Linked DNA regions of Rattus norvegicus. The protein of the gene in region 3 interacts with the protein of the main gene of each other region in a pairwise test. Links are inferred from orthologs where the notes say so. Each region holds a gene or a part of one and is shown on either strand. Other genes may lie near its edges. The genes, in order: Sav1, Il1a and Hax1.

Evidence for each region.
Region 1: the proteins of Hax1 (region 3) and Sav1 interact in binary tests that used the Homo sapiens proteins (3 or more experiments, as listed by UniProt). The link is inferred for Rattus norvegicus from reciprocal best matches to the Homo sapiens genes HAX1 and SAV1.
Region 2: the proteins of Hax1 (region 3) and Il1a interact in binary tests that used the Homo sapiens proteins (3 or more experiments, as listed by UniProt). The link is inferred for Rattus norvegicus from reciprocal best matches to the Homo sapiens genes HAX1 and IL1A.

The regions. Positions count from the first base shown.
Region 1 is NC_086024.1:94,216,709-94,219,210, reverse strand, and holds part of Sav1 (protein salvador homolog 1), read left to right. Parts: intron 1-458; coding exon 459-602; intron 603-1,868; coding exon of another isoform or gene 1,869-1,939; intron 1,940-2,502. UniProt on the Homo sapiens protein: Regulator of STK3/MST2 and STK4/MST1 in the Hippo signaling pathway which plays a pivotal role in organ size control and tumor suppression by restricting proliferation and promoting apoptosis.
Region 2 is NC_086021.1:136,987,161-136,991,297, reverse strand, and holds the start of Il1a (interleukin-1 alpha), read left to right. Parts: upstream 1-1,280; 5' UTR 1,281-1,333; intron 1,334-1,366; exon of another isoform or gene 1,367-1,735; intron 1,736-2,034; 5' UTR 2,035-2,042; coding exon 2,043-2,089; intron 2,090-3,180; coding exon 3,181-3,229; intron 3,230-4,137. UniProt on the Homo sapiens protein: Cytokine constitutively present intracellularly in nearly all resting non-hematopoietic cells that plays an important role in inflammation and bridges the innate and adaptive immune systems.
Region 3 is NC_086020.1:177,732,448-177,736,768, reverse strand, and holds the start of Hax1 (HCLS1-associated protein X-1), read left to right. Parts: upstream 1-1,426; 5' UTR 1,427-1,492; coding exon 1,493-1,545; intron 1,546-1,593; exon of another isoform or gene 1,594-1,746; coding exon of another isoform or gene 1,747-1,814; intron 1,815-2,030; coding exon 2,031-2,290; intron 2,291-2,456; coding exon 2,457-2,644; intron 2,645-3,778; coding exon 3,779-3,830; intron 3,831-3,959; coding exon 3,960-4,066; intron 4,067-4,321. UniProt on the Homo sapiens protein: Recruits the Arp2/3 complex to the cell cortex and regulates reorganization of the cortical actin cytoskeleton via its interaction with KCNC3 and the Arp2/3 complex. Slows down the rate of inactivation of KCNC3 channels. Promotes GNA13-mediated cell migration.

The DNA.
Region 1 (2,502 bases), on a different chromosome or scaffold from region 3:
TGCCAGCTGAGGGAGAAGTGCTATGTAGGGTCAGGGGGACACAGCAACAAAGGTAGAGCTGGGATGTGGAGTACAGGGTGACCTTTGGACCGAAGGACTGCACACCATAGGGGAAGAGGGATCAGCAAGGGAGAGGGGGCGCCAAAGTGGGACTTAGGCCCAGGGCTTGAGGCAGGCCACAGTGGGGGCGCCCCAGTCCATCCTCCCTACTCCACCTCTACTTGGGTGTTTATTACTTGCAGCATATCAGCTTCCAAAAGAAGATGGGGTATACTTCCACACAGTTTAGTTTAAAACAAAAAAATCTAGACTTTAATCATGGAACGTTCTGTTAAAGTGGAAGATGGTCAGTTTGTCCAGACAACACATAGAAGATTCTTACAAGTTGCATGGTCATTGTAATTTCTGGCCTGGATAGAGGGCTTCTGTTTTAATAAATGTCAACTCTTTGTTCCCAGTGTGCCTCGGTATGATCAGCCTCCACCCATCACGTATCAGCCACAGCAAACTGAAAGAAATCAGTCTCTCCTGGTCCCTGCAAACCCCTACCATACTGCAGAAATTCCTGACTGGCTTCAGGTTTATGCCCGAGCCCCTGTGAAGTAAGTGAGCACACAGCATGGGTATCTTTGGGGTCTCTAACAAGCTCCACTTAAGTACCGTGCATAGCCAGTGTGGATTAATGGTGGAGATACACCTTTAATCCCAGCATTGGTGGGGTGGAGGGCATGGGGACAGAACACGGATGGGGATGATGACATACAACAGAGGCAGATGGCTCTCTGAGCTAGAGGCCAGCCTGGTCTACAGAACGAGTTCAAGTTTCAGGACAGCCAGGGCTACACAGAGAAACCCCCCCCCCCCCCAAAAAAAAGTGTTGTGGTTTTCTTACAATATTGGGTTTCTATGTAACATTTAAGAAAGGATATCAGGTTATAAAGTTTGTTTAGAAGTAAAAAATTCTTCCAAGATGTTTGTATCCTAATTAATTTATGTACAAACCTCTGGTAATAGATACATGAGAATATCAAATATGACAAGTTTAATTTTTGTTTTCTTTATATTTTTATATGGCATTAACATGTAACATGGTATAGTACTTATAACCAAGAGTACCCAGTTAAGAGCTTAGTACTCTGGTGCAGAACAGTGGGACGGACACTCTGAGATGGAGTTCTTCATTAGGAATTACTAGTGAATTTCAGAGAAGTGATGAGTGAGTAAATGAAGCTTCCTGAGTGACAGCTGTGCTGGGAGACACTTGGGATGTACTGTAACCCCTTCGTGACTGCAGCTCTTGCTCATGAGGAGTGAGCTCTGGTGTGGGGAAGAGAGGGATCCAGGACTCTGCAAGGACGTCAGTCAAGTAACAGAATACACGGGAGTCAAGTAAAGTGCTTGCCTCAGCTCTGCCTGGGACACACATCCAAGACATGGAAGTGTGTGTGGCCCCGGGCAGCCTGGGCAGCCTGGGCAGCCTGCAGGAACTGCTCAGTATGCTTGGCTTGTTTTTTTGTTTTTTTGTTTTTGTTTGTTTGTTTGTTTTGTTTTTTTGGGGAGCCATATATGTTTTTTATATAGATTTGGAATAAAATGGCAAATGAGTTACCAAAGTATCCATTAGATAGGACATAAGTGATTATTAAAATAAGTTCACTAGACATTGTAACGTAGAGCTGCCTTTTATTTCTACCCTGCAGTGGCTTGAGAAATGACCTCAACATCACATAGGTACATAATATACCTCTAGTGACGGGTACTCACCCTAAAACACTGTCATTCTAAAGCTCCTTGGTCATATACCTCTGCCTTCCTGAACTCTTAGTCACTAATAGTTTTACAGGAGATAATTGGGGTTTTTTGTTTAGCTCTCAGAGTTTTTCATCTGTAAACAAGAAAACTGAATTAGACTGTCTCTTGATCTCTTCCCTTTCGAAGTGTGAGTTACTTCCTCGGTTCTGTAGTTCCCCTCATTCTGAGCCATTTAAGCACTGAAGGAGGACTAGAGTCCTTCTAAGACACATAAAATAACCAACATGATGTCACATTGTTGAGTTTTCTTCAGTTTATTTTATTCTCTCATTTTGAGTTTATTCTTCCTTTGGTTCTTAAATTTATTTTTATTTTTAATAATGTGTGTTTGTGCACACATATGTGTAGTGTAGCTTGAATCCAAAAGAGAGCATTTGTGTTTCCTGCAGCTGGAGTCACAGGGAACTGAACTCCAGTCCTTTGCAAGAGTAGTACACGCTCTTAACTTCTGAGCCATCTCTCCAAACCTGTTGCCTTGGTTTTTAATTCTTGCTACTCATCCTCATCCTCAGGCCTACAAATCATGACCCACCTGTCTCTGTTGAAGCTGAACAGTGTTCCTCTCAGGCACCTGTCAGCCCGCTGGCACCGATGCCATAGCGACTTGCCTGCTGTTCTGAATTACCACTTGTGTGCACAGTATGCTCTGAGTGTTCTCAACGTTAACTCTACTTGAATTTATAAAGAGCC
Region 2 (4,137 bases), on a different chromosome or scaffold from region 3:
GGCTCCAGTCTACTTCTGTGCTTGTCCTTCCTTCCCTTACGTAGGATACCACTCATCTTTGAATTTTGTTTATAAATATAACAAGAGGAGGGACAGACTGGACAGCCACATTGGAACTGGAGAGTTTACATATGCAATAGAACCAAAGAACATCTAAACAGCTCCACTCTGTGATTTAAAAGGGCCAGAGGGCGTGGTTCATCCAACTCACGTAAGCTGCTTTACTCCTAGCCTCACAGTTTTGTGTTTGGTTTGGTTTGATTTTTATTCCATGTTTCAGTGGTTTGCTTTTCTCTCTTTGCCACTTTTTTCTTTCCTTGTCTACCACCCACTTCCTTTATTTAAAAGTTACACGGCTTAAATGCCAAGTAGAAAAGCTGAAACACTGCTTTGCTGAGAGTCTATCTCTTAGACTGGCCTGGCGTCTAGGAACTGAAACTGTTTCTAATAAAAAGGCAATGCTGATCTGTGTAAGAATCCATACCTTCCTCTCCCACAACCCCCACTCCTGGGCTGAGGCACTCCCCTGGCTGGGACTTTGTCCCTGCCTCCAAAAGTGGGCAGCTTATCCTCTCTCCTGAACTATCCTGAAGGACACTAGGTAGTGGGACAGAGCTACTTTACCATGATGTGGCTGGGGCTGACAACTCTCCTCTGAAGCTGTCGTCTCTGTAGGAAGTGCGTTAATACTGTTTAAAGGAGTAAGAGGGCCCAGGTCTTTATGTTCAGTGTCACTTTTACCTCCTTTACCTTTAACCAGAAGGCCATTGTTTTATACGTGGACTGCTGACTTATTCAAGCAAATTTTACCCTTCAAAGAGGGGTGGGGAGCTCATTTTTCCCTCAAATGCCCTGCCTTAGCTGCCAATTATCCCTCCCATCTGTATTCAGTCCTGGGGCACAATAAACAAATTAGACCAAAACACAAAGTACAACTATGGAGCACCTGTCCTAGTCCGACTCCCGCTCCGATTTGAGGATGTCTCCTTTCCTCTTCCATTGGTGAGCTTCCTGCCACTCTTCCCTTTTTGTAAGACTACATGTTTATAGTCACATGGAGCAAGCGAGAAATAGGCAGATCAAGCCAACAGCCCGCAGAGTCTTTGCAAGCAACATTATTACCAGTGTATAATCTGTCCTTCTAGCCCGTATCAAGAAGAATGAACACAGAAAGATACGAAGCAGAATTGTTTCCTGTAAATTCCCAATGACACACACTCATGACCACACCTACTACTTGAGGAAGACTATAAAGACAGAGAGAAGCCTGACTCAGACTTAAAGTCTCCAGGGCACAGAGGGAGTCAACTCATTGGCGCTTGAGTCGGCAAAGGTATTGTCCTTATCCCATCTGAGGCTATGAGAATTGTCTTTTGTTTGCTCCTCGACTGTCCTCTCTCAAGACATCTTTCGTAAGGAAAATGGTCTCTTCTTCTCTCCTCCCTCCTCCTCCTCCTCCTCCTCCTCCTCCTCCTCCTCCTCCTCCTCCTCTTCCTCTTCATCTTCTCTTGTCTGATTTAGAGCAGGGGCTGGAGTGAGAGGCTCAGAAAAGAATTCTCTTTCTAGTGATAGAGAACTTAGGGAGCAGCTGAACAAGATTCACGTGAGCGAGTCTATCAGCAAAGCTGAACCATTTTCTGGAGATCGGACATCTCTCCTGACAAAAATGAAAGAGACCAGCAGGTTCCCACTCTGTGTCTCCCTTGCCTCTATATAAGGCAGACACCTCACTCAGGTGATTTTAATTTTTTTCCTTATTCTGTTCAACTTTTACTAAGTGCCTACTATGTGTGAGGCGATAGACTGGACACAAAGAATACCAAGTTAGAGAAAACATTCTTGAAAACAAGCTAGTGGAAAAGATAAAAGCATACAGAAATAATGTAAGGGAGGATGAAGGAGAATAGAGGAAATGCTGAACATGTGATAAGTCACTACTGTAGTTTCTCAAGAAGAGCAAAGCAGGGTCATTGCCCTTGCAAGCACAGGGTTTAGAGGTGGACTGAGCTGACAGCCACTGGTGTTCTCTTGCAGAAATCAAGATGGCCAAAGTTCCTGACTTGTTTGAAGACCTAAAGAACTGCTATAGGTAAGAAACGGAGTCTTCCTTTTTTGATTCAATGAAGGGCACAAGACTCTTTTGAATCCGAATTAACTAAGAGTTAATGTGACCAGTCAGGGGACAGGCTGGCAGAGGCTATGGAGATATACATTGACCCTGAAGTCCTGAGGACAGAGAAGACCTAGAAAGACCAGGCATCCGTCATACTAAAAGGATATTTCATTGGCAGGAAAAAACGGAAATTGTAGAAAATTATTTTTGAGGTATACTGAATCTGACATAATTTTATATCAACATCAACGTAGGCACTCTAAAGAGTCAGCAGTGGGTTTTAATGAGCTATTTGAGAGAGAATCCATTCTCAAGAGAACCTGTTCCCAGTCAAAGGAGGTAACGGCTCTCGGGCACATGGATTCACACTCATCGTCAAACCTTACCCTGATACAAAAGACAAAAGAGCAGAGAGTTGAAATTCTAGAACATTCTTAACTAATATGATGTTCTTGTTGTTTACAATTAATGCTAATGCTAATAAAGCTACAAAATGTTAAACAGTAAATGTTTTGGTGAAGACATGAAAGTAAGTAGCGTATGACAAAGTACGCCTGTGATGCATCAAACCCTTTTCTTTTAAAGACCTTAAGTCTTCCCTGAGGTTCTGTTAAGACTCTGGTTCATTAGTCATGCCTGATTTTTTATAAAGCACAAAGCTGTTCTAATAATTACTAATTTCAAATTAGTGACAAATAAATTACTATGTGTATAGTAGACATGAATGTACAGAAGTCTTTAACTTTTCCAAGAGTAATGATCGTGTGTGTGTGTGTGTGTGTGTGTGTGTGTGTGTGTGTGTGTGTGTGTGTTCATGTACTCAGTTACTGTGGAGCTTACTCTCATCCTAACAGGACTCAAGTTCTCCTAAGGATGGATTAGCTCTTAGACATCCACTAAAAGTCATTACTGTGTTAGAGCGTTTGAATTCAATGGTGCCTGTGCCTAAATCAGTTTTTAGGAATGTTGTCTGTGTTACCCAAAGTTAATGTGTTAAGTTAGATATGATACTCACTGACCACAGTAAAATAATGGACAAAATATAGTCTCATATTCTTTTTTGACAGTGAAAATGAAGAATACAGTTCTGCCATTGACCATCTGTCTCTGAATCAGGTAAGTACATAATTAGCATTCTTATAGATCTGGGCTCTCTTTTTCTTCCTTTTCTTTCACTCTAGATCCTCTACCAGAGAAGCACAATGAGCATTGAGTAGTATACACTTGTGTTTCCCTGTCATAAATGAGACACTTGCCTCTTCATGCCAGTAGTTAACTGACATTCTTCCTACTCATTTGCTTTTCCGGAATAGAGATCTATCTGAACCCCTAAGAGCTGGGCCAGGCTCCTTCAAAATATTAACTTTGTTCTCCCTAGCCAGTTGTTTCAGTCCAACTCACCTGGGTCTGTCTCTTAACAGACCTAAGGCTAGAGACAACCAGATAGCCCACAGAGCTGAGGTAAAGGAGGCTAGCCAGGAGAAATTAAATGTTACACACACAGACACACACACACACACACACACACACACACACACACACACACACCAGGTCATATCATTTTGTGTGTCTGTGATACTAGCTTTAAAAGCTGCTTTCAGAAGAACAGTTATACCAAAGGCATCCATGGGAGCTTAGAATCAAGGGAGACCACCTTCTTCAGATGCTCAAGTCCCATATATTAAATGACCCTCTATTTGTATAAAGTATGTATGCATGCATTCTCAAGTGACTTTAAATCATATCCAAGTGTCCTAACCAGACCTGCCACAATGCAGACGCTGTGGAAACAATTCTTATGCTTATGAAGCAATGGTTAGATTATTTAGGAAATAAAAAATGCACATGTGCAGTACAGATGTCATTTATTTCTAGAAAATATTTTGACTCTTAAGGCTGGTTGAATTTGAGAATGCAGGCAGGCAAAACAGAGGGCCAAATGTATTTTCTAAAATATTTTAAGCACTCTCAAGTAGATGCCAGACCTCTTAGTGGAAGGTTCTGACTTACCAGGGTTGCATATT
Region 3 (4,321 bases):
TGTGGGAATCTAAGCATGATTTAAAGGATTCTGAAATCTGAAGCCAGCATTATCTACTGTCTGGCAGAACCAAATTGTAGGGCTTTTTTCTTTTTGGAGGAGTATAGTAGTTCTTGTCTGAGTTATGTTTTTGAGACAATCTCACTATGTAACCCTGACTGGCTAGAAGTTGTAACCCAACTGGCTGGAAGTTGGTGTGGAGACCAGGCTGGTCTCAAATTCAGAGATCTACCTGCCTCTACCTCTTGAGTGCCAAGGTTAAAGGTTCTCAGCACTATACCTTACCTTGCCTTTTTTATGTGACTTTGAAATGCCTAAGTTTTGGGAAAGGAGTGGATGATGGTAGAGCAAGACCTGGGGTGGGGACATGGTGCAGTAAAAGGTTTTGGACATGGAAAAAAAAGTTTCATTTTTCTTTATAAAAGCCATATTGCCAAGAACTGGGATCCTGTTTCAGCCTTCTAAAACTGCAAGTATCTCTGCGTTGGTGTATGAAGCGGGTGGGGGTCTCTATATTTTGAGTCAGAGCCTCACTGTAGCTCTGGCTTGCCTGAAACTCAGGTGTGTGGAGCAGAGATCCGCCTGCCTCTACCTCCCGAGTGGGTTAGACAAAAACACCGTCAAATTTCATAACGGCACAGTCTTTCCAAGACATGCTTGAGTAGCTTCTCATTCCTGCCTAGTCTACAAATCTTACGTTGCTGGTTGCCATCTGTTTAGTTTTTTAAAAATAGTAGTGTTTGGTGGCAACCTCCTTTAATCCCAGCACTTGGGAGGCATAGGCAGGCGGGTCTCATGAGTTTATAGCCCCCTTGGTCTGCAATTGAGTTCTAGGACAGCCAGAGCTACCTACACACAGGAACCCTGGGTCGGGGGGGGGGTGGGGGGGCGGAAAAAGTTTAAAAACTCCGTACTAGCTGAAGAGATTCCTATCATCTTTATTCAGCAGTAGGGAAGTCGCGGTGTAAGTATCTTGGTAAAACACTTTGCCTAACCTAGTATTAGACGTCACCGACATCATTCTAGAAACAAAACACAAGGTGGGAGGCGTCACCGTCAGTCTAGAAACAAAACACGAGGTGGGATGTGTTTTCTGATCCTGGGGGAAGCAGGCCTCTGAGTGAACAGGCCACTCCCTCTGGCGGCTACCTGAGACCCTCCAGAGAGAAACGGAAACACGTCTTGGGGTCTGGCAGATCGGCAGGAAGAAGAATCACCTAGAAGGGATGTGATCCTTGGACAGTGGGAATTTCGCACGTCCACCCCCACTCAAAACTGAAAGGTAGCGTATAGAAGCTTCGTGTCTGAGGAGCGCCGTCAGCCCCGCCTCTTCCTCCTCCGAGTTACAGCTTTTACGACAGTGCCGCATCGTAGGCTTGCTTTCCGGCAGCGAACGCTAAGCCTTGGCTATATCCGACAGGGTAGCGTAAACTGGTGGTCTCGTGTTGCCCATGGGCTGCAGAGTTTCAAAGTTTCTAGTACCCCTACGGGAATGAGCGTCTTTGATCTTTTCCGAGGCTTTTTCGGCTTCCCTGGACCTCGGAGGTGAGAATAGTCCTGGGCTGGACTTAAGGGAGGGTGTTTTGGTGGACACTTGACCCCTTCATATTTTTGGAAAGTTTCCTTTCCCGCCCCCTTTAACTCTTGCTGAGAGGTCAAAGATCGCATTCTTGAGTACTCACCCGCCACAGTAATCAAAGCGTTGGTTAAGAGGACAGAAACGGCACCTTTCTCCAGACTGGGGTGATGCAACAGGGACCTGAGCGGAGAAAACAATGGGGGTCTGGGAAAGAGGACCGTGAGCAAGTCATTGGGTGATTAGTAGTGGGCAGGATGACCCTGAAGGAACACCATGGGGTGTCGTTTGGGAGCTGTTGGGAGGTGCGGAGAAGCTCTGCTTAGAAACAATTAAAAAACCTAGTAGATCCATCAGCGTTGTTTTAAAACCAGATCTCCTCTTTGGACCGTTTTGCTGCCCTTGGGTTTAGACAGTGTTAAAGTCTTCGTGGTTTATCTGCCTCCATTCTCAGCCACAGAGATCCTTTTTTTGGAGGGATGACTCGAGATGATGACGATGATGAAGACGACGAAGAGGAGGAAGACAGTGGTGCGTGGGGTCGAGAGAGCTATGCGTTTGATGGTTTTCACCCTACAGAGGAATTCGGTTTCAGCTTCAGCCCCAGAGGAGGGATGCGATTCCATGGCAACTTTGGCTTTGATGATCTAGTTCGAGATTTTAATAGCATCTTCAGCGAGATGGGGGCCTGGACCTTGCCTTCCCACTCTCCTGGTGTGTTAATTTCCCTGAGGGAGAGCTGGGTTTCTAGTGGGTTAGTGATGGATAACAGAACTTGCAGAGTAGTTGGTGATGGATAGTGTGCAGAAACTGATTTTAAAAAGATTTAAAATGTTTTAAGGCCTTTCCTATCCCAGAATCACCTACCAACTTTCTACAGAACTTCCAGGTCCTGAGTCAGAAACACCTGGTGTGAGATTGCGAGAGGGGCAGACACTTCGTGACTCAATGCTTAAGTACCCAGATAGTCACCAACCCAGGATCTTTGAGGGGGTCTTGGAGAGTCATGCAAAACCTGAATCCTCCAAACCAGCTCCAGATTGGGGGTCCCAGGGACCTTTTCATAGGGTGAGTACTCTGCACCTGAACTGTAAACCCTTATATATTGGAATCTCTTGGAGTGGAGTTGAAAATTTAGCCCATCTGATTAGTGCATTTATCTGGATTTTATTCCTTATTGGGATTTTTGTTTTGAAACACTTCACTGTGTAGATTTAGAGATCTGCCTGCCTTTGCCTCTGGATTAAATGTGTGCCACCACACCTAGCCTAAACACACACACACACACACACACACACACACACACACACACACACGAGTATTTTGCCTGCTTGAATGTCTCTGTACCATATGTACCTTGTGCCCACAGAGGTCATAAAAGGATATTGTGTCCCTGGAACTCAAGTTATGTATGATTATGAGCCACCATGCTCTTGCTGGGAACTGTGGTCTTCTGCAAGAATGTCTTCTCCCTCTCCTCATATTTTATTTATTTATTTATTTGTTTGTTTGTGTATTTTGAGGCAGGGTCTCTAGTATTGGCTGATGTAGAACTTGCTATGTAGACCATGCTGACCTCACTCAGGGGTCCACCTGCCTCTGAGTTTGTTAGTTAGGGTTCTGTTGCTGTTATTTGTTGTCTTTTAAATTTAGAGTGAGAGAGAGAGTGTGTGTGTGTGTGTGTGTGTGTGTGTGTGTGTACGTGTGTGTACGTGTACGTGTGCACGTGTACGTGTGCACGCATGCCTGTGTGAGTTTGTATTATTGTGTGGGTGCGGGTGCTTGCAATGATGAGGTGTTGAATCCCCTGGAACTCTCAGCTGCTTGATGTCCTAAAAGAGCAGAAGTGTTCTTAATCTGTGAGCCTTCTTCCCAACCCCATTGCTTCTGTTTTCTTTTTGCAGTATTGGAACCTAGAATAGACTATAAAGGGGAAAATGGAAATATTGTGCTTTTTTTTTTTTTTTAATTACTAGTTTCAATTCTTGGTTAAGAAAGAATCTTAAAAGCGCAGGAAAAAATTTCAGGAATTCTTTTTGACTGAAGTCCATATAAACCTGAGGAAGAAGGTGTGTGAACACAAACTACCCAGATAGAAGTATTTCTGGGGTTTTGGAGCTAGTGAGGAATATGGGTTCTCTGACCTGTAAGTTTAAGATTAAAAGGTGTCTTTTCACTGATTGTGTGTGACTTCTTCTACAGTTGGATGATACATGGCCTGTGAGTCCCCATTCTAGAGCCAGAGAGGACAAGGGTGAGTCTAGAGGGAAGCACATTTACCATGCCATTGTCCTGAAGTTCTCTCAGAAGTTTCTTCCTGAAACACTTGTCTAATTTTCTTCCCTCCACTCTATCCTGGCTTGTCATCTTTCTGCCCTTCCAGATCTTGACTCCCAGGTTTCCCAGGAAGGTCTGGGTCCACTTCTTCAACCCCAGCCTAAATCCTATTTCAAAAGCATCTCTGTGACCAAGATCACTAAGCCAGATGGGGTGAGTTGAGAGAGAAGTTTTGGGTTTTTTTGTTTGTTTGTTTTGTTTTGTTTTTGTTTTTTTCTCTTTTCTTTTTTTCGGAGCTGGGGACCGAAGAGAGAGATGTTTTTTAAAAAACTGTCCAGATGGGGTTGGGGATTTAGCTCAGTGGTAGAGCGCTTGCCTAGGAAGCGCAAGGCCCTGGGTTCGGTCCCCAGCTCCGAAAAAAAGAACCAAAAAAAAAAACTGTCCAGATAATGCTCTGGGGAAAGGTAC